2 linked regions of the Xenopus tropicalis genome follow. The protein of the gene in region 1 interacts with the protein of each later gene in a pairwise test. Links are inferred from orthologs where the notes say so. Each region holds a gene or a part of one and is shown on either strand. Other genes may lie near its edges. The genes, in order: myoz1 and flnc.

Region 1 (11,581 bases):
TTGGTCTGATTGTAGTATTCTTGTATGGTATTCTACAAGCACTTTTGTAGCCAAAAGAGTGGAATCTGGGGAAATTATAGCAAAGGGAATATATGCTTATTTATAAGAATGTTTATTTTCCTTTTAGTTTTCGTTAGTATGCTCAATATATATTTGCTGGGCCAACAGGGAAAGGTGACCTAGGAAAGCCACCTGGGTTCATCTGCCCCCGACCCCCACTGCACTCGCAATGCACACAAAAAATACCCACCATGGATACTACTCCAGAATTAAAGACAGGCCGGAAAGAGGGATAGGGAGGCAGCAGAGGTACATGCCTGGCACCCATCTACTGTGGCACCCTAGGCACATGCCTCTTCTGTCTACCCCTAGTTCCTGTCCTATACAAAAGAGTAGGCCCATCAAGAACTATTTCTGTGTGCCTATGTTTATTCTACATTTACTGCAAAATCTAATTATTCTGTGGTGTGCATTATTAATGTGCCACCCAGGCATCTCACAGAATGTGAGCAAAAGGAAACTGTGAAAAGACAAGATAGCACACATATATAGAGAACTGAGGAAAAAGAAATTAACATTATAAATAACATGTATATTCCCTTTAATGACAACAGCTGGCATAAATAAATTGCATGTGCTAACAAAGGGGATTGATACTCAATACAACATGCTTGTCTGCGTTAGAAGATGAACCTTTATCCATGTTGCATTGATTCTTGAATGTAGGCAAGGCTGTCTCTTTGCAAATCACCTGTTTACCTGAAGCATTACAAAACCAAAACAAAAAGTCTCTTTGAGAGCAGGAAAGCACACGAACAGCAAGTTTTGCTGTTCCTGTGCTTTCCTGCTCTCAAAGAGACTTAAAGGAAAGCTATATCCCCAGAATGAATACTAAACCAACAGATATTTTATATCATATCAAGCGGCCTATTAAAGAATCATACCAAATTGGAATATAAATATTAAATATTGCCCTTTTACATCTTTTACCTTGAGCCACCATTTTGTGTCTGTGTGCTTCCTTTAGAGATCACCTGACAGGAAATAGTGCAGCTCTAACTGTAACAGGAGGAAGTGTGGGAAGTAAAAGACAGAACTGTCCATGAATTGGTTTATGCGACCTTAAATGTATGTGTGCCCTTGATTTGTTTGTATGCACCGTGAATCGGATGATCCCTGAGGGTGGCCATTTTAATATTTAAAATGGCATTTTTTATTTAGCATTAACCAATATTTGTATGCAAAATGGTTTATTTAGATGAAGCAGGGTTTTACATATGAACTGTTTTATGCATGGTTGCTTTTGTGCAGTAACATTGTTTTTGTTGCTTAATTTTACCCGTAGATCTGCTTCTGTAAGTTCACCCTTCTTTTAAATGGTAATATAAATAATGAATTAAAAAAATATTCCAAAAAATTATAATAAACAAAGATTTCAGGAAACTGACTAGAATCCCATGGCATGCTTTGCATTCTGCTATACAGCACTGTGTGTATTAATGGGTCATGTACATCTTTGCAGGTTAAGCAGCATATTCTTTACCTTTTCCTTCCACCCTAGTATTTCTGTGGACCCACAGTCCTCCTATTGTGTTATAAGGAACAACAAGATGCCAGAAGAGTGCATGGGTCAGTGTGACAGGATTCACACCTGAGGCCAGTTGGGCATGGCTGTAAATGAATCCCTCCAAAGAAAATGAAACTTCTTAGGTTTCCTAATAGTCTGTATTGAAACTTTTAACAACAATATACATGTATGGACCTGGGTCTTTCCATAACTTGTACGACCATAGCTTAAAGTGATAAAATACCCCTCTAATGCACTAAGCTTACACAAAATAGTGGCAGAGACATTATCCAGACACATCACAAATTTACATTACATTTGTAAGCCCTCCCCCAACCTCCTGTCACCGTACCTCATTTTACCCCCAGGTTTTTTAGTCTCTCCTGTGAATTCAGCCGATGCATGCACAATAAGCATACAGTGACATCATTGGGGCCTGTGCACATGCGCAGGAATTGGTCAGTTGCGTCAGAAGAGTGCGTGTACATGCACGGTGACATCACTTCTGGATTTCAGCGAAAAATTTCCGGAGTCACGGGTTGCAGTTCCCCCCCATGAGCATCTCCCATCTCTAACTACCTGAATTGACAAAAAGAACATACATTTTTTTAAGGGGGAAATATGGAAATCCATGTGCTGCATTAAAAAATAAACCTCTTTCCAAAATAAAAATGAAAAAGATCATGTGTTTTTTAATGTGAAACATGGATTTAAATTGTCGTTTTAATACAAACATAAATAATTTCTGAGACTGAAAGGAAATCATGATGGTCTGCCTCTGACTTGGGTGGACAATTTCCCTCCCAACATTATCCCTCAATTTGTTCAATTTTAAAGTGATCATGTCCAGCCCTTTGCTTTGCAGAGAATCTGGTTGTACCACCAACCTTGACTCCTCTAGCTTACATTTCTCTAAGCAGGTTGGGACCACGTCTTCTGCCCTCTCTAATACCCCTTCCACTTAACCCTTCCCCATGGAATGTAATAATCCTGCCCACTCATGGCTCCTTAGCGTAACTTGCTGAAAACACTCCTTCTGTTCACTATTATTTGGACATTTTTAGAAAGCAGAAGGACACCCAAGTAAGGGAGGGGTTGAATGACTGTGGCATCCTAAGGGGTGGGGAAAAGGTCACTTCAGATCAGAGGCAGACCATAATGGTTTCAATCTGAGGAATCAAGTATGTCTGGCACATGGCAAGGGTATAGGATCTATTATATGGAATAATTTGGACTTGGGGTGTTCCGGATACAGGTTTATTCTGTAATTTGCATCTCCTATAGATACAACCTTAAGTCTACAAAAAGCATCTAAATATTAAATTAAACCCCAGCAGGATTGATTTGCCACCAATATGCATTTATTTATGCAGCTTAGTTGGAAACAAATACAAGGTACTGTTTTATTATTACAAGGAAAAAGGGGATCATCAAGGTAAAAACTAAGTAAGTTTTATCAGAAAGGTCTATGTAAATGCAGCCATAAGCACACACAGAAACGCTGCACTGACTTCTCTGTCAAAAGATTTCTTGTGTCTGTTTTCCTCTGCTAGAGACATGCAGCTCTCTCCCCTCTCCTGCTCCCTCTCCCACAAGAATGCTAAGAACTCACTCCCTCCCCTTAGGAATGTGGATCTGAGCCAATCAGCAGGAAGCTGAGTCATAGGGGCTGATTTACTAACCCACGAATCCGAATCCGAATGGGAAAAATTCCGATTGGAAAACTAACATTTTGCGAATTTTTCGTCGCCGTTACGACTTTTTCGTAAATTGTTGCGACTTTTTCGTAACCATTACGACTTGCGCGAATTGTCGTGACTTTTTCATAGCCGTTACGATTTGCTTGTATCTTGAAGCGACTTTTTCGTATTGAGCGCTCGTAAAAGCCTCCCATAGGACTCAATGGCACTCTGCAGCTCCAACCTGGCCCAAGAAAAGTCACGATACTGAAGCTTGAATGAATCCGAAACTTTCATACTCGGCGCGAAGGCTACGAAAAAGTCGTGACAATTCGCGCAAGTCGTAACGCTACGAAAAAGTCGCAACTTTTTGCGAAACAGTCGTAACGGCTACGAAAAAGTTGCAACAATTTATGGAAAAAAATCGCAAAATACCGATCATTACGAAAAAAACGCATTCGGACGCCTTCGGACCGTTCGTGGATTAGTAAATCAGCCCCATAGTCTTACACACTAAGTTGCGACAATTTACGAAAAAAATCGCAAAATACCGATCATTACGAAAAAAACGCATTCGGACGCCTTCGGAGCGTTCGTGGATTAGTAAATCAGCCCCATAGTCTTACACACTGAGCATGTACACCAGTCTTGCTCTTGGTGCAGGAGCGAGGCATTATGGGAACTTTCTTTACACAGCTCAGCGTTTTTTCTTCCTGTTTGGCTTCTGATCATCTGAACGGGAAAAATATGGGGAGACCTAAGGGCACTATTGAGACAACTGAAGGTATGCCTGCAGCTTGAGATTAACTCTTTATTAGCCTTTCCTTCTCCTTTAAAATGCACTCTATGAGAGATGGCCTTCCCGTAATTCAAAGCTTTCTGGATAACAGGTTACTGAATAAGGGATGCCATACCTGTATTGTTTATTTATTACAGATTCAAAATATTGTAGTATAAACTATCAAAATGTTGATCATGTTCTTTTTTGTAGCATCAAGAGAAGGAGAGATAGAAATCTCCAAACTCAATTTAGGGAAAAAGATCAGTGTTCCCAGAGATATCATGCTGGAGGAACTATCCTTGCTCAGTAACAAAGGATCGAAGATGTTTAAGCTTCGTCAAAAGAGGGTAGAAAAATTTATCTATGAAAACAACCCTGACGTATTTTCCGACAATTCCTTGGTAAGAAGAATAAATATTCTGTAAGATTTGTTCATCTGATTTTGGTTTATTCAACATTTTTAGCTGTACTAAATGATTCCTTCAAACTAGCTATGTTTTAAAGGGAGCTAACCACCCCCAAAGAATGCACTTTTGCAATTTACATTATTTTTTTCTTTGGGCTTTCGTGAAATTAATGATTTTATACTGCTAATATCATGAATTTTCGCCACAAATACCCCCTGATGCATAGTCCAGCTGGCCAGCTGGCTCCCAATAGTTAAGTTACTAATGTAGGAGGCATCTCCCTATGCTTCATTTGCTTATTTTTATTGCTCCAAGAAGAGTGATAGAACTGAGCAGTGAAGTGCCAGATGTTGCTTTCTGAATGAGTTACTTAAATGGTATTTATTTAAAATGGAAATCTAGAAAAAAAGGTTTTAATTAAGGATAACTGTTATTATAGTATTATTTGGATACTATTTGTATGATATCTTAGAATACAGAGTGAAATCAAATGTTAGGCAGGTTTTCATAGCAGTTATGCAAGGTGTTCCCATGGCAAAAGATAGAGCAGATCCACACTATAAATATTCAGAACATGCACAACAAGAATGTAAACCTCTGAGAAAGTTGTCAGGCAAAACACATCAGGTTGGGACATCAACCCGTTGTGGCATTACAGAATCCACTGCCACGTGTGGTGGTGACATTGAACATGACAGGCATAGGAAAAGCTTTTTAAACATTCATACAAATGTGAGTGCAACTTTATTTAGAATTCTGTTATAAATAAATAAATAAATACAAATTTTCACAATAAATGCTCTTACTGTCCTATAGTCTGGACATGTGGGAGACAGGGGTTATATTATTAAGGCTTGATTTTATCAAGTGTTTTGGAACTACCCATCTTTTATCAAATTGTAGCATGGTGAGACCCCTTATACTCTGGGCAGAGATCCCTAAACCTTTTTACTCATGAGCCACACCCAGATGTAAAAAGTGTTGGTGAGCCACAAAAGCATGACAAAAGTTCCTTAAGGATGCAAAATAAGGGCTGTGATTGGCTATTTAGTAGGCCCACATGGACTACTAGTCTACAGATGCCTCTGCTTGGAGTAAAACTGTGTCTCTGTGCTTCTAAAACTTGCCTCCAAATGGAAATGTAAAAATGAACACCTGCTTTGAGGCCACTGGTTGGGGATCACTGCACAAGATAGTGTTGTACTATCTTGTGAAGTGGGAAGCTGAACCTGAAATGCCCTAAGGGTGTATTCTAAGTTTCTCTTGCTTGTCACACATAGGGTTTCCACCTTCGGAGTGTAGAAAAACAAGGTGGGAGGTGGGGCAGGGCATCATGTAGGTGGGACAGGTTATTATAGAGGCGTGGTTGATTACATCAGGGTCGGCGGTTATGATGTGGCGATTGTCAATTGACCAATCGCCAGGTCAGTCTAAGAGAGCCCTTCCCAGTTTCCATAGTTTTAAACACCGGGCATGAAGTTTTGACCTGGACAGCACTACCAAAAACTAGACTGTCCGGGTCAAAGCTGGGCAGGGGGCAACCCTAGACACACAAGACACTTAAGGGCTGATTCACTAAAGTGCGTTAAAATGAGCGCTATTTATAGCATGTGTTAAAAATTTTATCGCGTCTAATTTTTCACGTCTTAACCCACGATTCACTAAAAGGATATTGCGTTAATTTAGATGCAATGCTGTTTGCGTTATTTAAGTTGTGAAGACTATTTTCGTACGTTATTTGACACAACATGCGCTACTTGTCACGTGCGCTAATTAATGCACGTGCGCTACTTTTCGTGTGCACGCCATATTAGCCATACACAGCATTACGTTCGTAAAACTACTTTTTTTGAAAATGACCATTTCCCTGCAAACTGGAGGCTACATCACTCTAGGGCCAACACATACTTGAATAAATCCCACTGCAAAGTCCATATTTTATTGCCAAAAGCTCATTAACTGTACTTTTCTATAATTACCGCCTGCCCCAAGTAGGTGTTTTCACACAGACTAATGCGATATTTAGCGCGCCTAAGTGTTTGTGAATCATGTGTTAGTATTATTTCTGCGCGCTAATTAACACAATGCGGTACAATTAACGCATGCAGTTGCACGCTATTTAACGCACATGATTTGCAACTTAACGCATGCAATAATACTTTAGTGAATTGCACGTTTTTTTCGCGTCGATTTTAACGCAAAAAAAATGCGATATGCGTTATCGCACTTTAGTGAATCAACCCTATACTGTATAACTGAAAAAATACTGCAGTACATGATTTCTTTGTTTGTTTTTCTCCTGAGCTTTTGAGTCGCTTTGTTTTTGGAGATCTGTGGCAAAATTTGCTGCTCAAAGGTAAATGATGATGTCAGAGATAGTTCTTAATGAAAATCATTCTTGTTACCGGCTACTGAGCAATATTCCAGTATGAATTGGGATAATGGGCTTCCCACTGTCCTACTGCATAAAAATACATTCATTATAGACAGAAGTGACTGAAAGGGGAAGGACAACAGGACTAGACCACTTCCCTTTGGGAACGAATGTTGAAGAAGCGGGTATACTGCCCCTTTAAGTTGACTAATTGCGTCTACTATATTCCCAGGAGGCAGGGACATGGACATGAACAGAGAGCTGAGTTTGGAAGTTGTCTAAGAATAAAGCAACATAACTAGAGGCTGCAAGTCAGGGAGCTCCCTTTCAGGATATTGGAAATAGAAACACATGTGCTGGCCTCAATCACTTGCTTTAGATAACCCGGGGGCCGGAAGATATTCAGCCTTTTCTTTCCATGCCATCAAAGTACTAACATATTAACTTTAGTGAGATCTATGATATCATTATGACTAAATGAATTTGCTGGGAACAGAAATTATGATTTCTTGCAATTTACTGGTGAAAATATAATAAGCCGATGAGAATGATATGGGCTGGTCTAAATATACATTCACTGAGATAATATTAGGGAGAATTAACTTGCATGTTGCAGATAGATGGAATCGCTGTAGGTCTTTATTTTAATTTTTGTATTTTTTTTATTATTTGCATTTGTTCTTTCAATCTCCATCCTGTAACTGATTATGCTACATGGATGTCAGTATCAGTGACTGTGAAAAACAGGCAGCAGAATTATCATGGTGATGGGTTTTATTTGTTATTTTTATTGCTTATTGTTTGAACACTCTCCTGTTCATTCTTCATTCAAGCAAATGTCTGGTTGCAGCGGTCAGTAAGCATAGCAACAAGATAGCAGCATACATGTCAAAATGCTGACATGAGGTTTAGAAAACAGGAGAAAAAGCATGGGGCCACACAAACTAGAGAAGATAAGCTGTCTGCAAGGGATTAATCACTTACCTGATACCCCAGACCAGTCTCCTGTTAGCAGAAAACTGCACCAGCACGGGGTACTTCTGGATGGGCAACACGGGCCCTGGCCAGAAAATGTGCAGTAGAGTAATAAAGCAGGGCTTTTTCTTCAAGTTTACTTTTTCACTCTACTGAGCATGTGCAAAAAATGACTCTGTGGTGCCAGGATCTCTTACCCCCACTGCTGATTTCCTCCACTCCCCCCTTCCCCGAATGACAAGCATGTGCATGTTCCTGCGCGGGCAGGGCTGCGGGGGAAGCAGTGGTGGGAGTGAAGTGCCGCCTGGGTTGCCTAGGGCGCCTGGTTGGCTTGGCCTGCCTCTGGGGGTAATTAAAAAGCTCATAGCAACCACTAAGATATTTGTTTTTAAATAGCTGACCAGTAAATACTACCTGCTGATTGGTTGCTATGGGTTACTAGAACAGTAGGACTTGCCTACCTGGGGCAAAGCAATCAGATCTCTGTTTAGACCTCAAAAGATATCTCAGAAGTCAGTGGAAACATATTTAGTGATATGATCTAGTGAGTAAAACAGACAGAATGAAATAATCTTTCAATGTAGGATTACACTGACATCTGCCCAGTCTGCACAAATAATTCTTTGCTGGTGGGGGTTATAATACCCAATGCATTGTAAAAACGTCCCTGAGTAGCATCTCCTGGAGGCTCTGCTGTTCAGTCATCTCTACTGTACACACCTTAAGAAACCCTACCTTTTCAATTGTGTCATAGGTGGAGGGTGACTTTTTTGTTTGGGGAGGCTAAAGATGGCCCATACACAGGCTGACCTACAGCTAATGTGACACTTAGTGGATTCACTGCTGGTGTAAAAAATTAACCTCCCAACTACCTCTTGCCGTTCCCACTGACTCCCAGGGATACTGTACAAAAGTGCGGGGGGTGCTTTTTTTTTACCCTAAAATGTTTAGGATGTAAAAGTATTCATACGTGCAGTTCTGTGAGGGGATCTGCAAACATTTGTGTTTGTGATCAGTTAGCTTAAAGGGGTAGTTCGCATTCAAATTCACTTTTATTTTTAATGGTTTTTCAGTTATTTAGCTTTTTGTTCAGCAGCTCTCCATTTGGTATTTCAGCAGCTATCTGGTTGCTAGGGTCTTATTTACCCTAGCAACCAGGTAGTGGTTTAAACAAGAGATGGGAATATGAATAGTTAAGGGGCCTACTTGGAAAAATAAGTAATACAAAATTATAATAATAATAATAATAATAAAATTGTAGCCTCACAGAGCAATATTGTTTGGCCCCCATTTGAAATCTGGAAAGAGGCAGAAGAGAGGCAAATTATTCAAAAAAATTCATTAGGAAGACCAATTGCAAAGTTGCTAGGAATAGGTAATTCTATAACATACTAAAGGTTAACTTAAAAGTAAACCACCCCTTTAGATGTGTTTATGTTAGTTTTATAGCAAGAAAGGGTACTGAGTACTGACTCCCCATTATATACAGTGAGACGCAGTCTTTATATACAAAACCAGCACATTATATACAGTGAGACACAGTGGGTACAAATGGCAGATATTCAGGCCCTGGCACTATAACACTGGCACTGATACACAGCACTGTCCCCACTGTAACTAACTAGAAATAAAAAAAACAATGACAAAAAAAAATAGTAAGTGCAAAAAACAACAACAAATATATAAACACACAATGAGCTTTTGCAGGGGAAAGAGTTAACTTTTTTTTACCCTCCATCTGTTAGGGTAGGTGATAGATTATAAATTATTATAGATGTCAGGTCAGGCAAAAAACAATTTAATGTCAGCTAGTGATTCTTTAGAACTGTATAGTACCTGTGTATAGTACCTGTGGGATGAAAACTGCAGCAAAAGCTGGTTCTTAGGTAAAGTTACAGCCTGCAGATTCTTCTTTTCAGTCTTCAGTTCTGTACTGCTTCCAGTGTGCAAAATCTCCCGATCCCTGTGTGCATCTGTGCTCTGATTGGTTAATTTTACTGTCTGTCAAGAAAGCTGTGCTCTGATTGGACAATCCACAAGAAGAAAGATCCAATCGGAGCACAGCAAAACGGGCTTGCAAGAACAGATTTCCAGGACAGTGCAGAAACGGAGTAAGGTTTTTTTTTTTTGTTTTGTTTTTTTTTAATGTGCCAAGCAGGTTTGGGGAGGCTTAGCCTACCCTAGCCTTATGGAAAATCCGCCTATGAATTGTGTCAACTTATCCGTGTTCACCACTTTTGAGTGAAGGGGAGTCCTGTACTTAAAGGAAAGGCCCCCTTGCTCCAAATGCAGGGGTAAACAATTAGTAAGGCAAGTGATTCTTGATAGTAGACATTGTGGGTGACATAGAAGTACAACTTTACTGTATATTATAGCTTTACATGGAAACAGCAGCCTGATGTATATAAACATCACACAATACAGAAATTTTTTTGGGTCCTTAGTTGTCCTTTTAGTGCAGGAATCCCCCAAATTTTAAACCCGTGAACAACATTCAAATGGAAAAAGCTTTGTAGAGCAACACAAGCATGACAAAAGTTCCTGGAGGTGCCAATGAGAGCTATAATTGGCTATTTGATGGTCCCTATGTTGACTGGAAGCCTACAGAAGGCTCTGTTTGGCAATTACACTGGTTTTTATGCAATCAAAGCTTGCCTCTTAACCAGAAATTCAAAAATAAGCACCTGCTTTGAGGCCACTGGGACCAACATCCAAAGGGTTGGCAAGCAACATGTTGCTCACAAGCCACTGGTTGGGGATCACTGTTTTAGGGAATGGACCACAGGACGTTTTGCCCAAGCTAAATCTCCTATAGATCGGGTAACTGAACACCTTGGAGATGCCTCTGGAAATTGCATTCTCCTACAATACAAATGTTTTATTGGCAGTGATTCACACTGACATCAATGAAAAGGTATCTTTGGACAAAACATCCTATGTACAACACCCTCAGAGGTAAGTGAGCTGTCATGTTTGATGGTGATGGCCAGCTCTCTGCTCTGTACATATGAAATGCCATTCACAGAGTGATGAGTGATGTAGTCTTTGTCTTTACTTTACGAAAACCTGTATTTGGCATCTCTCATACTTGGTGGAATCATAATTTTATAGATACATTATTGGTCAGTATTGAAAATTGGTTTGCATTTTACTAAATGTTGCTTTATTTATCTTTTCTACATAGAGGGCAGGGGTGTAGCTACAGAAATTGCAGGGTTTGCCTTCATGTCCCCATAAATATCATTAATTTAACCACTCATCATAATAATAGGGATAAATATTGCATTAAAAAAGCCAATTTACAATACAAAATGAAGGTGATAACGGATTACAGGGGAACATACAAAACAGATTTCATAATAGGTGATTGCAAAAAAGTAGGGCCACTCCAGTAACATTCCAGTCAGGGACTCCATGACAATTGGGGATGCAGAAAGATGCAAAGGTCTAATTCACAGGTTGAGAAGGGACAGGACTTGCTGAGGAGTGGGTAAGGTTTGAGTGGATGGTGTGCATGTTCTGGGCATAATGGAGTGTGCTGAGGCAGATTGGCGACATGGCAAGTGTAATTTAGTGTAATTTAGTTGGCTATTTCCTTTATTAAAGCCCTGTTCTCCTTAGTAGGCCCCACCACTCTGAGGGCCCAGGTGAAGAGAGGACTGAGGACCCCTAGAGAGGAGAGTCCTACTAACTAAGTAGTATGGAGCCCCATGATCCCTGGTACTAGGGCTATGCATTTACAGAAAAATAGGGATAACATTTTTTCAGGTTAAAATTTTTTCAGTTAATGTCTACAGG
Region 2 (12,366 bases), on another chromosome or scaffold:
AACCATTCTAGTAATGTGCATAAGTCTAGTCTTTTCACATTTACAACTTGTAGCTCTCTAGCCCTGATGTTGCTGGACTACAACTCAGTAGCCAATGTTTGTCATGGGATGCTGGGATCTGTAGTCTACAGCTGGAGAATTGGGAAATTGCAGGATAAAATACTGCCTGATCAAATATGAACTTTGCATTAGTTATTTGACATAGAGAAATCATACTTTTTTCATTTTTAATCTTACAAGGACCATATCACCAGTAGTGATATGTTAATGACTTTAAAGGACCACAAACAATAAACAAGTTAAGATAATATTATTTATAATCATTTGAGCATTAAAAAAAAAAAAAAACTCTTTGTGGGAGGATGGCAGTCAGCATGTGTCATTAACAATACAGAAGGTACAGGAATGCAGGATTTTATATCACTGATACAGTCACTTTGCGGATCTAGTTTCATCAATTCACAAGTCAGAACCAGCAGAAAAGGGGAACAAATAGAAAATTTCTGAATTACCGTATTTTTGGCTTCTTCGTCTTGGCGAAAATTTTTTACTAGCGAAAAGTCTACTTCTCCCTTTGGTAAATCGCGAATGCACTGCAAATTGTCTTTTTTTGGTGAATTGTCACCAGAAAAAGACAATTCCCCCTTTAGTGAATGTGCCCCAAAATATCTGGCAAACACATGAAGCAGTGTCCAGGTCCTCAACCTACAATAAAAATTAGAATCATATAAGGCTGAATGGATCGCTTTCTACTCCCATTCTTTATTCTGAACAGAAACAATCATAGAACATGTACTGTTTCAGACCTCATAACTAGTCATTTTAATGTAGCTTTCTTATTCAACTGGGACTTGACATTTTGTTAAAGGCCTCTGTTTCCAAATATACTAATGCTACTGGTGGAAGCCCTGTGGAGATCCCAATTCCCTTGGTAGCAGATGCAAAGCATTCCTAGACAGTGATCAGGGTTAACTCCTTCCTTCCCTTAGGCTGTGATTCACTCACTCACTGTGACTCATTGCTCTGACTCTCATGCATCTCATAGCAAAAGTACATCACACATATATATATATAGTCCACAAGATAAGGAGGAGCAAACATATGATGCACTAAGCAGAATTTAGAAATGGATTTGGATTATTGTTATTTTTGGGCTAAAATGTATAATCTAGTGATGTGCAGGCTCACCCAAAACCTACAAGTTGGGTGGGTTAGGGCAGGCATCAACACATCCTTTGTGGGTGACAAGCAGGTTCAGGACAAACTCCATTTGCCCAATCCAAGCAGGATGTATTTATAGACTAATACCTGGCTACAGATTGGGTAGTCCTATTTCATTTCAATAATGGCCCATTGCAGCTTTTGCACCAGACCTGCACCTACAAAGCCCCTTTATTTTTATCTCCAGTTCATGGACAGATACCCTGACATTTTTCCAGAGAATTTGCTGGTACAAGTCAGAATTTATAGCTCCATACATGATGGCAAGCCGCCCTAGTACAACAGAGACAACAAAGCAAGCCCAAACATGATATCGCCATCAACTTATTTCACAGATAGGATAAGGTTATCATGCCGGAATGCAGTGTTTGCCAAACAACACTTTTTAAGCAAGCCAAAAATTTTGTTTTGGCCCTATCCATCCACAGGCTTCATAGCACCTGAGAAAGTATGGGGCAAATCCACATGACTCAAACGTTGTGCACTGCTTGCAGACTCAAGAACACTGACATTTGCCAATGCAAGAGAGGGCTTTAGTTATTTGGATATTAGCCCGGGTTCTCCAAGATCTCCTGGAAGAACCTTGCTGTTGGTGATATCAAACACTCCTTGGGAGGGTAACAAAGGTTTTAAGTTGCCTCTATTTGTAAACAATCTGTCTGACAGTGGACTGGTTGAGTCCAAACTATTTACAGCATCAATAACTATTTTTATGAAGTCTTCATAAATCACCCGGGTTGGAGCCATGAAAGACTTCCACAAACCTGTGCAAAGATCAGACTTAGAAAACCCAAATTTCTGATGATTTCAGCATATTCTTATATAGTCATCAAGTTCAACCCTTCCAAGTAAACCCAGCACATACAACCTATACTTACCAATCTATACTATCACATACATAAACTATATATACAACCATTAATACTAACTGTAGATATTAGTATTACAATAGCCTTGGATACTATGCTTGTACAAGAACTCATCCAGGCCCTTCTTAAAGGCATTAACAGAATCTGCCATTACCACATCTCTAGGAAGGGCATTCCACAATCTCACTGCCCTCACCGTGAAAAACCACCTACGCTGCTTCAAATGGAAACTCAGTTCCTCTAATCTAAAGGAGTGGCCTCTGGTGCGTTGGGGAAAAAGAACATCCCCTATCTGCCTATAATCCACTCTAATGTACAGAGTAATCATGTCCCCTCGCAAGTGCCTCTTTTCCAGAGAAAACAACCCCAACCTCGACAGTCTAACCTCATAGCTTAAATCTTCCATCCCCTTTACCAGTTTAGTTGCACATCTTAAGGACTGGAGCCCAAAACTGCACTGCATACTCAAGGTGAGGCCTTACCAGGGACCTATAAAGAGGCAAAATTATGTTTTCATCCCTTGAGTCAATGCCCTTTTTTATACAAGACAGCGCTTTATTTGCTTTAGTAGCCACAGAATGACACTGCCTGGAAATAGACAACTTGTTATCTACAAAAATCCTTCTCCATTAAGGATACCCCCAACAAACTACCATTCAGTAGATAGTTTGCGTTTATACTATGTCTACAAAAGTGCATAACTTTGCACTTGTCCACATTGAACCTCATTTTCCAGTTTGCTGCCCAGTTTTTCCAATTTTGTTAAATCACTCTGCAAAGTGGCAGCATCCTGCATGGAACTTATAGTTTATTGTCAGCCGCCATTTTGTGAACCCTGTTATTAAGGTAAGCTTTGTATCACCCCAAAATCTTATACACTTGCCATCTAGGTGATATCTAAGAAGTAATTGTAATTAAAAATCTGAGCTGTCAATAATATATTGCCTGTCCCGCCTCTATGCCTGATGCCTGAGTCTGATTTTTAAATACATTTATAATAGGTATGGATGATTTAATTAAAAAAAGAATTTTGGTTTCATGTTTATTTTTGAAAGGATTTGTATTACAGTTTGTTATGTGTGGGTGACAGGTCCTGTTTAAAGGAGTTGTGCACCTTTGAATTAGCTTTTAGTATGATGTAGGGAGTAGTATGATATAGGGAGTAATATTTTGAGGCACATTGCAACTGGTATTAATTTTTTATTACTTGCAGTTTTTTAGTTATTTCATTTTTTGTTCAGCAGTACCCCAAATTGGTTTCAGCAGCTATCTGGTTGCTAGGGTCCAAATTACCTTAGCAACCAGGGAGTGGTTTGAATGAGAGACAGGTATATAAATAAGGAGCTGGATATAAAAATAAGTTCTAAAAAAATAACAATAACAGTAAAACTGTAGCTCCACAAAGCAATGTTATTTTGGCTGCTGGGGTCAGTGACCCCCAGTTGAAAGCTGCCAAGAGTTATGCAAATAATTAAGGCAAATAATTCAAAAATTATACAAAATAAATAATGAAAATCAGTTGAAAAGTTGCTTAAAATCGACCATTCTATAACATACTAAAAGTTATCTTAAAGGTGACCCATCACTTCAAAGGGGTAGTTCATGATTAAGTTAACTTTTACTATTTTCATTCCAGCTCTCAAATGGGGGTCACTGACCCTGGCAGCCAAAAAAATTTCTCTGTGCGGTTTCAAAGTTATAGTTACACACTACCCACATTATGCTAAAATTTAAGATACAGGTGAACTACACCTCAGGGACGGAACTGGGGGTAGGCAGAAGAGGCAGCTGCCTAGGGCGCAGTGATTGGGGGCGCAAGGCAGCCTCTCCTGCCTACCCCTAGTCCGCTCTCTTTAGTCATTGCCCCCGCCGCTTGTCCTTAGGCAGTGGGGGCAATGATCCATCGAATCGCAAAGCCAACCCCGCCCCCCCCAGGTGTTCAACTGCACGCCAAAGGGGGGGGGGCGAATGAGGAAGGGGCGAGGTGGCCGACTGGGTTGCCTAGGGCGCCTGGTCGGCTTGGACCGCCCCTGCTTCACCTTTAACATCTTAGCACACCCAGCCACAGTGGAGGGCTCAATAATGCTTGCATCTACACTAGCCAATACATACAAATGACAGGGCCTGATTTGCACATGGTGTGCCCCTAGGCCACTTGCACCCCTGACCCCTGAACACTCACACTCTCCTCTGCCCTCCTGCCCCCCTGTACGTGTACCCTCCCCTGCACCATCTCCTTTACTGATTGGCTGCACTAGGGACTGGGGTGGGCAGGAGATGCAAACAGCTGTAAAAAATTTCCATCCAGTCTCCAGTACAGATGCAGCCAGCAGGCACCATGCCACCCTAGGCTTGGGCCCAAGGCCGGAACTAGGTGTAGGCAGAAGAGGCAGCTGCCTAGGGCCCGCCCCTGCTTGGCCCTTTGTAGCCTGCCCACAAATCCAGGCCTGATGATTGAGGGCACATTAATGTGATGTTGTGGGGGCCTGAAATATATTTGCAGGAAGGCCCTAGAAAGTAAAGTTACACCACAGCACACACCATGGTCAATTTTATTGGGAGCCAATTAGCCTCCAATCAACCCACACACACGTGAGGAGAACATGCAACATCCTTGGAAGAATGGAAAAGCAGAATAGTTTCCCCAATTACTCCTGTTTCAATTTAAATGTTAGTTTTTGCAGGGATTCCTATAGTAACGTTATACCATAGTTTATATTTTCCCGAAGCGGTATCTTACATGTGGTTAAGGATACTTTTCCTGCTACTAAAGGTGGCCATACACAGGCTGATTTCAGCTGCCAATAGTGGTCCTTTAGACTGATTAGGCAGCTTATCTGCTCGTGTATGGGCACCACCTACAGGCCTCCCTGCCCGACATCTGGCCTGAATGGGTTTGATTTTCCCATTGGATCAAGGACCACATTGGCTAGTTGATGCCGTGCCCGAACTGACGGCACCTATGCCCTAGGGCCAAACGATTGAATTAGCCCAATATTGCCCACCTGTAGGTGGGCATATTGGGAGAAGATATGCTCACTTGGCGACCTCGCCAAACGAGCAGATCTTACCGTGTATGGCCACCTTTACACACATATATTTATCTATATTTTTTTTCTGTTGAGTTTGTATAAATTGATATAAGAAATATGTCTGTGGTTATGGTGACATGTGGTATGGGTGATTCATAATCACCCAGAGCCATTCTTTTTATTCCTGCAGGCTAAAAGCCTAGAGGCTGAGTTTGCTGATTTTCTCATTGCAACAAGGTTTCCTGTGCACTTCTGCGTGTCTGTCAGAGGGTTAGCCCTGCTGTCTACCGAATGAGTTAATGCAGAAGTTATCTTTTTTGGGGGGTAGAAGATGATTGATTAGGTGGGTGAGGGTGGTGGTCTCCCCTTGCATTACATCTGTTGCTTTTGTTAACTTGTGTTGTAAGATCCCTTCCTTCTACCCCCTCTCCCCTTCCCCTCACAGCCAGACCTCCCTGACATGAGGTGTCTAAAAATACAGAGATGTTACAAGCAGTGAGAGCATGGGCAGCCTAAGCCAATCCGAGCCCCCGCTATCCATAGCACCCAATCGTGCCCCTGCTCACTATCTCACTGGGGATTAGGAAAATACTCATCTTAGTTGTATATGGTCATAGCAAAAGCATTCCAGGGAGTCCATGCCTCTGACGTGGGGGGTGGGAGGGGGAGAGGAGCCCAAAGAGGGTGGGGGCATCGGTTTTCTTTAAAACCAACTCCATCCAGGACTCCGAACTTTCACACAAGTTGCCAAAGACCTGCAGACTCACCTCTATCTCTCTCTCTTCCCTCCTTTCTGCTGTGGGATCTGAAGCCCCAGGACTGAGCTGCCTCTCTGCTTTATCTCTTTCATTCCTGTTTCCATCTCCCTCTCTAACACAAACAACAGACCTGACCTGCTGCATTTTTATCCCGTGCCCCCTCCCAGTCACCCCCAAAAAGGACTCACAGAAAGGAAACAGAAGACAGGAAGAAAAAGGATCATTGCGAAGGGAATTTGGGCAAACTCTCTCCTCCCTCGCAGCTCAGAGCCAGGACACAGGGGACTGAGGAAGCCCCTGCAAGGGTTAATCGAACCGTAGCCAAAAAACATCTCACTGTTTCCAAGCGAAGGACAAATAATAAGGGAACTAATTTGATTGTTGAGGTCAGTTCCAGCAGCTTGAACTTGATTTCACAGATTTTGGGGTTTGGATCCAGCAGTTGCCTGCTCACTTTTGCTGTGATTTTCTCCACCCTTTTTTGCTTCGTTAGTTGATCCCCCATATAAAAAGCGAAAAGCTCCCGAACCAAAGTCATCATGAGCAGCAACGATTATTACGACCAGCAGCAGTTTTACCAGGGCGAAGAGGCAGAGGAGATGCCCGCTACAGAGAAGGACTTGGCAGAAGATGCCCCTTGGAAGAAGATCCAGCAGAACACCTTCACCAGGTGGTGTAATGAGCATCTCAAGTGCATGAACAAGCGCATTGGGGACCTGCAGAAGGACCTGAGTGATGGCCTGAAGCTCATAGGCCTGCTGGAGGTGCTCAGTCAGAAGAAGATGTACAGAAAGTACCATTCCAGACCCAACTTTCGGCAGATGAAACTGGAGAACGTGTCAGTGGCTCTGGAATTCCTGGATCGGGAGCACATCAAGCTGGTGTCTATAGGTCAGTTCTTGGGGGGTTTCTAACACAAGGGTGGGCAGGTATAAGTAAATATATATCACACGTGCTAAGGTGATGCATGGCAAATGTATTTTACTTTTATATGATTGATTTGATTTTGTCTATCTAGCTATAGCATCAAAGTTCTGCTCCCGGAGGTAATTTAGTATAATACCTTGTGAGGTACTTAGGGCAGAACTGCCTGAGCTAACGACTTTGTAACGTTTAAGAATGAAGTTGGGGGCCACTAAGGACTTTATTAGCTATCTGTAAGTCAGATATGGGGGCCCTCCCACACTGTAGCTCATGTGTAATACACTCCAGACATTTACTTTTTGATCTCAGAATTAGCTCTTTATATAGGGAATAGTGTAACCCCCTACTGTAAAATAGAAGCATATTAGATGTCAATAAAGAGTTCCATGACTATATATATATAGATGGGTGACTTCTTCTACAGGGGGTATATTCTTTTTTATAATACACAAGTTTCAGTGAGTCATGTGACACAAATTACATCACTAAGCACCAATTATAACTGATAATGTCACTGTCTATAAGCATAATCTATAAGACACTGTTTATAAGCATGTAATTTACAGGATATTAATTAATAATAATTAATATAAACTACAGAAATAATTTTATAATTTTTCTTTATCTGTAATTTAAAGTCAGTGGAACATGTAGTTGTATTCAGCAGTAACTAATGAATTACTACAAGAGTGTGCAGCATTCTTACAGAGTCAGTGCTGTAACCTGTAACCTTGAAGCACCACTCTTAAGTGAAACTGTGAGCGGCTCATGATGACAGCAGAAGAGGGGGTTTTTAAATGGCACTATGCTCACATAGTAGAGAGTTCATGCAATGGAGGAAAGTTTTCATTCTGTTTGTTTTTTCAAACAGGACAATATACCTCCTGATAAAACTTATAAAGATTTTAGAAATAACCACAGAGCCCTGTGTCCTAAATAAAAGCATAGTGTATAGAACAATAAAAGCACAAGTCAGCACTTATAAGCTTTACCATGAAATGAGATAATGTATTCAAGAATATGGAGCAACATCTGGAGAATGTTTTTTTTTCCTATTGATCCAGCTCATTGAATACATTATTTCACTTACAGTAAGTGCTGAACCAAAACTTTAACAAGCAAATATATATACAGGTATATATATATATATAAACCCCTGTTGTTAAATATAATGCTATTACAAGTCATCAAGGAGTTCCATGACCATACAAAAATACAAGGCAGAAATTCATGGCTTTTGTGTACTAACAGAAGAAGTTTGCCTGCACACAAATCCATGCTAGCTCAAAATGCTTCTCGGTGGGTTCACTAGCATGGGGAACAAAGCTGAGCAAAATGGTGCAGGCTTGAAGTATAGGGGTTTAGTGATCAGCCTCTGATGTGGAAATCTTTTACTTGAGACCCTGATTTCATTCAATTGCCTGGTGACCCGGCATACTTTGTGCACCTATAATGTCTGCCTTGATGGAATATTCTTTGGAACAGAAATGGTTTTGGTTGAAGATACAACTATAGGGGGTCTTAATTTCAAACTTCAGAATGTTAATGTGCATCGAATTCTGTAGTTGAGTAGTGTATGCCTACCATAAATTATTTCACAAGTAAAAAAATTCTCAGTATTGATTAACTACACACAGAATATCTAAAAACACTTTCAGTGGGTATAATAAAAAAAGCTATGATTTCTCCCAAATAGGACAGTAATATATACGTAGGCTTATTATGGTAAGAGCTCTTTTTCTGTATAAAAGAAGCACATCTTTAGCAGGGGTGTTTGAAACTTTTTTCACTCAAGCCCTCCTGATTTCTCTGGACCATTATTGAGTCTGACTTCATATAACTATTTGTCTTCATGCATTTAAAAGCACAGTATGCACCCTGTTATAGGCTCAAGAGTATTCAAGACAGCAAGTAGGTCCAAGCTTGTCCAAGTCACTGCTAGAGGCTCCCATAGGTTGGCAGACCTTCCAGCTTTGGAGCTTATAAAATGAATAACTTCATAAACAATTATAGCAGCCAATGGTACTTAACAGTACTTGTTCTTGTGCATGAGAACAACTTGTTTCACACATTACTGTCCCTTTAGATGACCTTTTAGAGAAATCTTGTTTTTAAAAAAAGATTCTCTAATGTGAAAAGAAGGGTCATTGACAGGGAAAATTATCTCATCTGTATATTAAGTAACAGTGGAGTCTTCTTACAAAGGTCGCAATGAGACCATACCAAATTAAACCTGATAACACATACTTTATTGGCATGGCTGAATAACGGAAGTTGAATGAAATATATGGCTCTGCAGTCACCTGCTGTTCTAAATAAAAAAAAAATTGATGTGTTATCACAAGACAAAATAGGCCGAATAATATTTTAAAGCAAGCTTAGTGCATGGATTGATTTTTATACTAAGTTAAACCCCATATAGTATATTAATTGGCAGTGCCTAATGTACCAGAGAAAACTAGATTATCATTTTAGCATTTTCAGTTAACTACCTGTATACCACTGTATATAATTTTTTAGTTGTTTTTACTAAGGGCAGTCATGTATTTCTCCACATCCTTTGGTCTGGCCATATTTACAGAAAAAAACACAGAGAAGTGGCTGGAAATAACTTAAGTTATAGTATTAAGTCCCAAGCCCTGGGTGCAATCATAACTTCTACACTTCCTGTGTGACTTATGGGAGATGCAGTTCACAACAGCAAGATTTTAATTTACATCTGCGTGTTGTGTAATAGAAAGGAGCAATTGCAATGATATTTCAGTATCCTATAGTCTGTGTAACATTTTGTATTTTTAAATTATTTAACTTTATATCTGATTGCTTATAGCCTAAAATGTAACATTTTTTTAGACTTTTTGTAATTCCTCTGTTATTTTATCTTACAGCTGGTTATTCAAACCCAAGCATGTTTATTAGGGTCAGTTCAGATGATTAAGAATTGATAAGGAAAGGAATAGGAAACAAGCATTAGTTTATTTAAAAAATGTAATCTAAGGCTTCTTTTCATGTTTGCTTTAACTTGTGTTTCTGGTGCAGAGCATTTTTATGCATTCCACCACATGGTAATTCAAGTGTTAAGTGATCTCAGTCTGCCCTGTGGGTCAAGGCCAAGTTTTTCTGTTTAGTCTTGGACTCTACTCCTGTAGGTACTGAACGAAAGGGCAGAGGAAAATCAATAAACCCATATGTTCCCATACAGTATAATGCACAAAAACTAAAAGCACAGCACTGCTTAAAGGAACAGTAACACCAAAAAATGAAAGTGTTTTAAAGTAATTGAAATATAATGTACTGTTGCCCTGCACTGGTAAAACTGGGGTGTTTGCTTCAGGAACACTACTATAGTTTATATAAATAAGCTGCTGTGTATCCATTGGGGCAGCCATTGAAGCTGGAAAAAAGGAGAAAAGGCACAGGTTACAAAGCAGATAACGGATAAGACACCATTGTATTCTACAGGGTTTATCTGTTAGCTGCTATATAACCTGTGCCTTTTCTACTTTTTAATGGCTGCCCCCATGGCTACACACCAGGGTTTATATAAACTCTAGTAATGTTTCTGAAGCAAACACAAAACTTTTACCAGTGCAGGGCAGCAGTACAGTATAGTTTAATTTCTTTGAAATATATACATTTTTTGGTGTTACTGTTCCTTTAAGTACAGTTGCAGGTAGCAATCAGTCAGCAATTAGCTTTGAACAGGCCACTACAAGTTAGAAAATCAAAGCAAAGATCTGATTGGTTGCTATGGGTAAATGCACTTGTGAAATTTATCACTATATATTCATAAATCAGCCATGCAAATACAATGTGAAACACCCATGGACAGAGTGGTGTCTCGTTTCGTCACACACAGTGGTAACTACAATGTGCCGTGCATCCTCTACAAAAAAAACTTTGGAGTAGCCTGGCGTGCACAGCAACCTCTACCCCACATTACCTGCCTACCTGCTGGTGTCCCACACTCCCCACCCATTTGTGCCACGCCAGGTAGGAACGTGGCTGGGGAGGAGGATTTATAATAACTTTAATTAGTCCCCCAAGGCCCCCCTCTCCCACAGGCCCCCCTGCAACCACAGGGTCTGCTTCCTCAGTCTATAGTTACACCAGTGAATACACACAGGATAAACACATAACAGCTTTTGTCATAAAATCCCATAGTTGCAGACAATAGAAGTTGCCGTTTCAATACAGCTGGAGGCTGTAGGGTAGAGAGCTCTGATATAAAGTGCTACTGATACCATCTTGCCCTGCTGTACACACTGTACTGCAGTGATCAGCCTTTGATGTGGAAATCCTATTCCCACACCCCTGACCCATTCCCAGAAAAGGGATAAATCTGTGGAGCGCAATAGGATTTCTTCAGGGATGTCACCCCTGCTTGCACCCTGCCAAAGACAGAGATCTGCAGAGGTTTTATTGCATGCAGTCCTGCTTCCCCTCGGGTTGGGTGGAACCGAGGATGATTAATACTGGACTTAACTTATATAGCTGTACATTAAATGTTCTCACAACTTTAATTTAATTACAGTTTCAAAGTTATGTGAAATTTGTATCACACCTGCTATGAGATAGTCCAGCACTTGAGGCAATGGTGAGAATCAAACTGAACTGCTAATGCAAACCAGAAGGAACCTTGTTTTTTCCCCCATTTACTGAGTGACTATAAATAATATGTTTATTATTTTGTTAAGCATGGTTTATAAATTATAGCTGTACATAAAAAAAAAAAATAAGAACTTGGGCATTAAGAGGACAGCCATTTATGCCACAGCTTTTTGTACGCAAATATGAGTTTTGCAGCCAACTTGTGATCTAGCATTGATAATGTTTTGGCAATAGGGTATTGCAGGAATGATGTTACCAAAAGGTAAATGCCCACTTATAGGAATATTAAACAACTCCTCCCCATGTGGTAAAAGGCACTAAGTTTGCCCAGGAGCAGTAACCATTAGCAACCAGTAGTTTGCTTTTAAACAGGTGACCAGTAAATTCTGCCTGCTAATTGGTTTTTAAGGTTCCATGGAACCTTATAGGTATAGATGGAGCTGACTTTGTTTTGACATCACAGCATGGCTGTTCTTATATCAATGGCAAAAGATATCATAATAATCCATGTAAACAGAGAGAGCCATCTGAAAATGCCTACATGAAGTTTGCTCCATCTGCAACTCCTTCTGTAACACAAAGCAGCTGGAACTCTCTGCTGCTGAGAAAAGCAGTACAACAAAAGTTCTTGCCATTAATGTGCTGCCAGATAGCACACAGTAGTAGGAATTCATTCATCGCAGCGCAAACAACAAACTACACATTTCTCTCGCTACAATTATCTTTCTGCTCTATATTATTATGCATGGGTTTATACATACATAAATGTAAGTGTACATACTTTTATAAATAAGGAATAAGGATTTTGCACAAGAAATATAGATTTTATTTTGTATTATTGATTATTTATATACAAAGCCAATGCATTTATGTTTCACTTTTTAAATATTGTTTATCATTCACATTAGTCCCTGCCCCAGTGGAGCTTACATTGTAAGGTCCCTGTTCCTA

Evidence for each region.
Region 2: the proteins of myoz1 (region 1) and flnc interact in a two-hybrid assay, tested with the Homo sapiens proteins (2 studies listed by BioGRID and IntAct). The link is inferred for Xenopus tropicalis from reciprocal best matches to the Homo sapiens genes MYOZ1 and FLNC.

Annotation. Positions count from the first base shown.
Region 1 is NC_030683.2:44,123,681-44,135,261, reverse strand, and holds part of myoz1 (myozenin-1), read left to right. Parts: intron 1-4,237; coding exon 4,238-4,428; intron 4,429-11,581. UniProt on the Homo sapiens protein: Myozenins may serve as intracellular binding proteins involved in linking Z-disk proteins such as alpha-actinin, gamma-filamin, TCAP/telethonin, LDB3/ZASP and localizing calcineurin signaling to the sarcomere.
Region 2 is NC_030679.2:87,429,010-87,441,375, forward strand, and holds the start of flnc (filamin-C), read left to right. Parts: upstream 1-5,840; 5' UTR 5,841-6,419; coding exon 6,420-6,771; intron 6,772-12,366.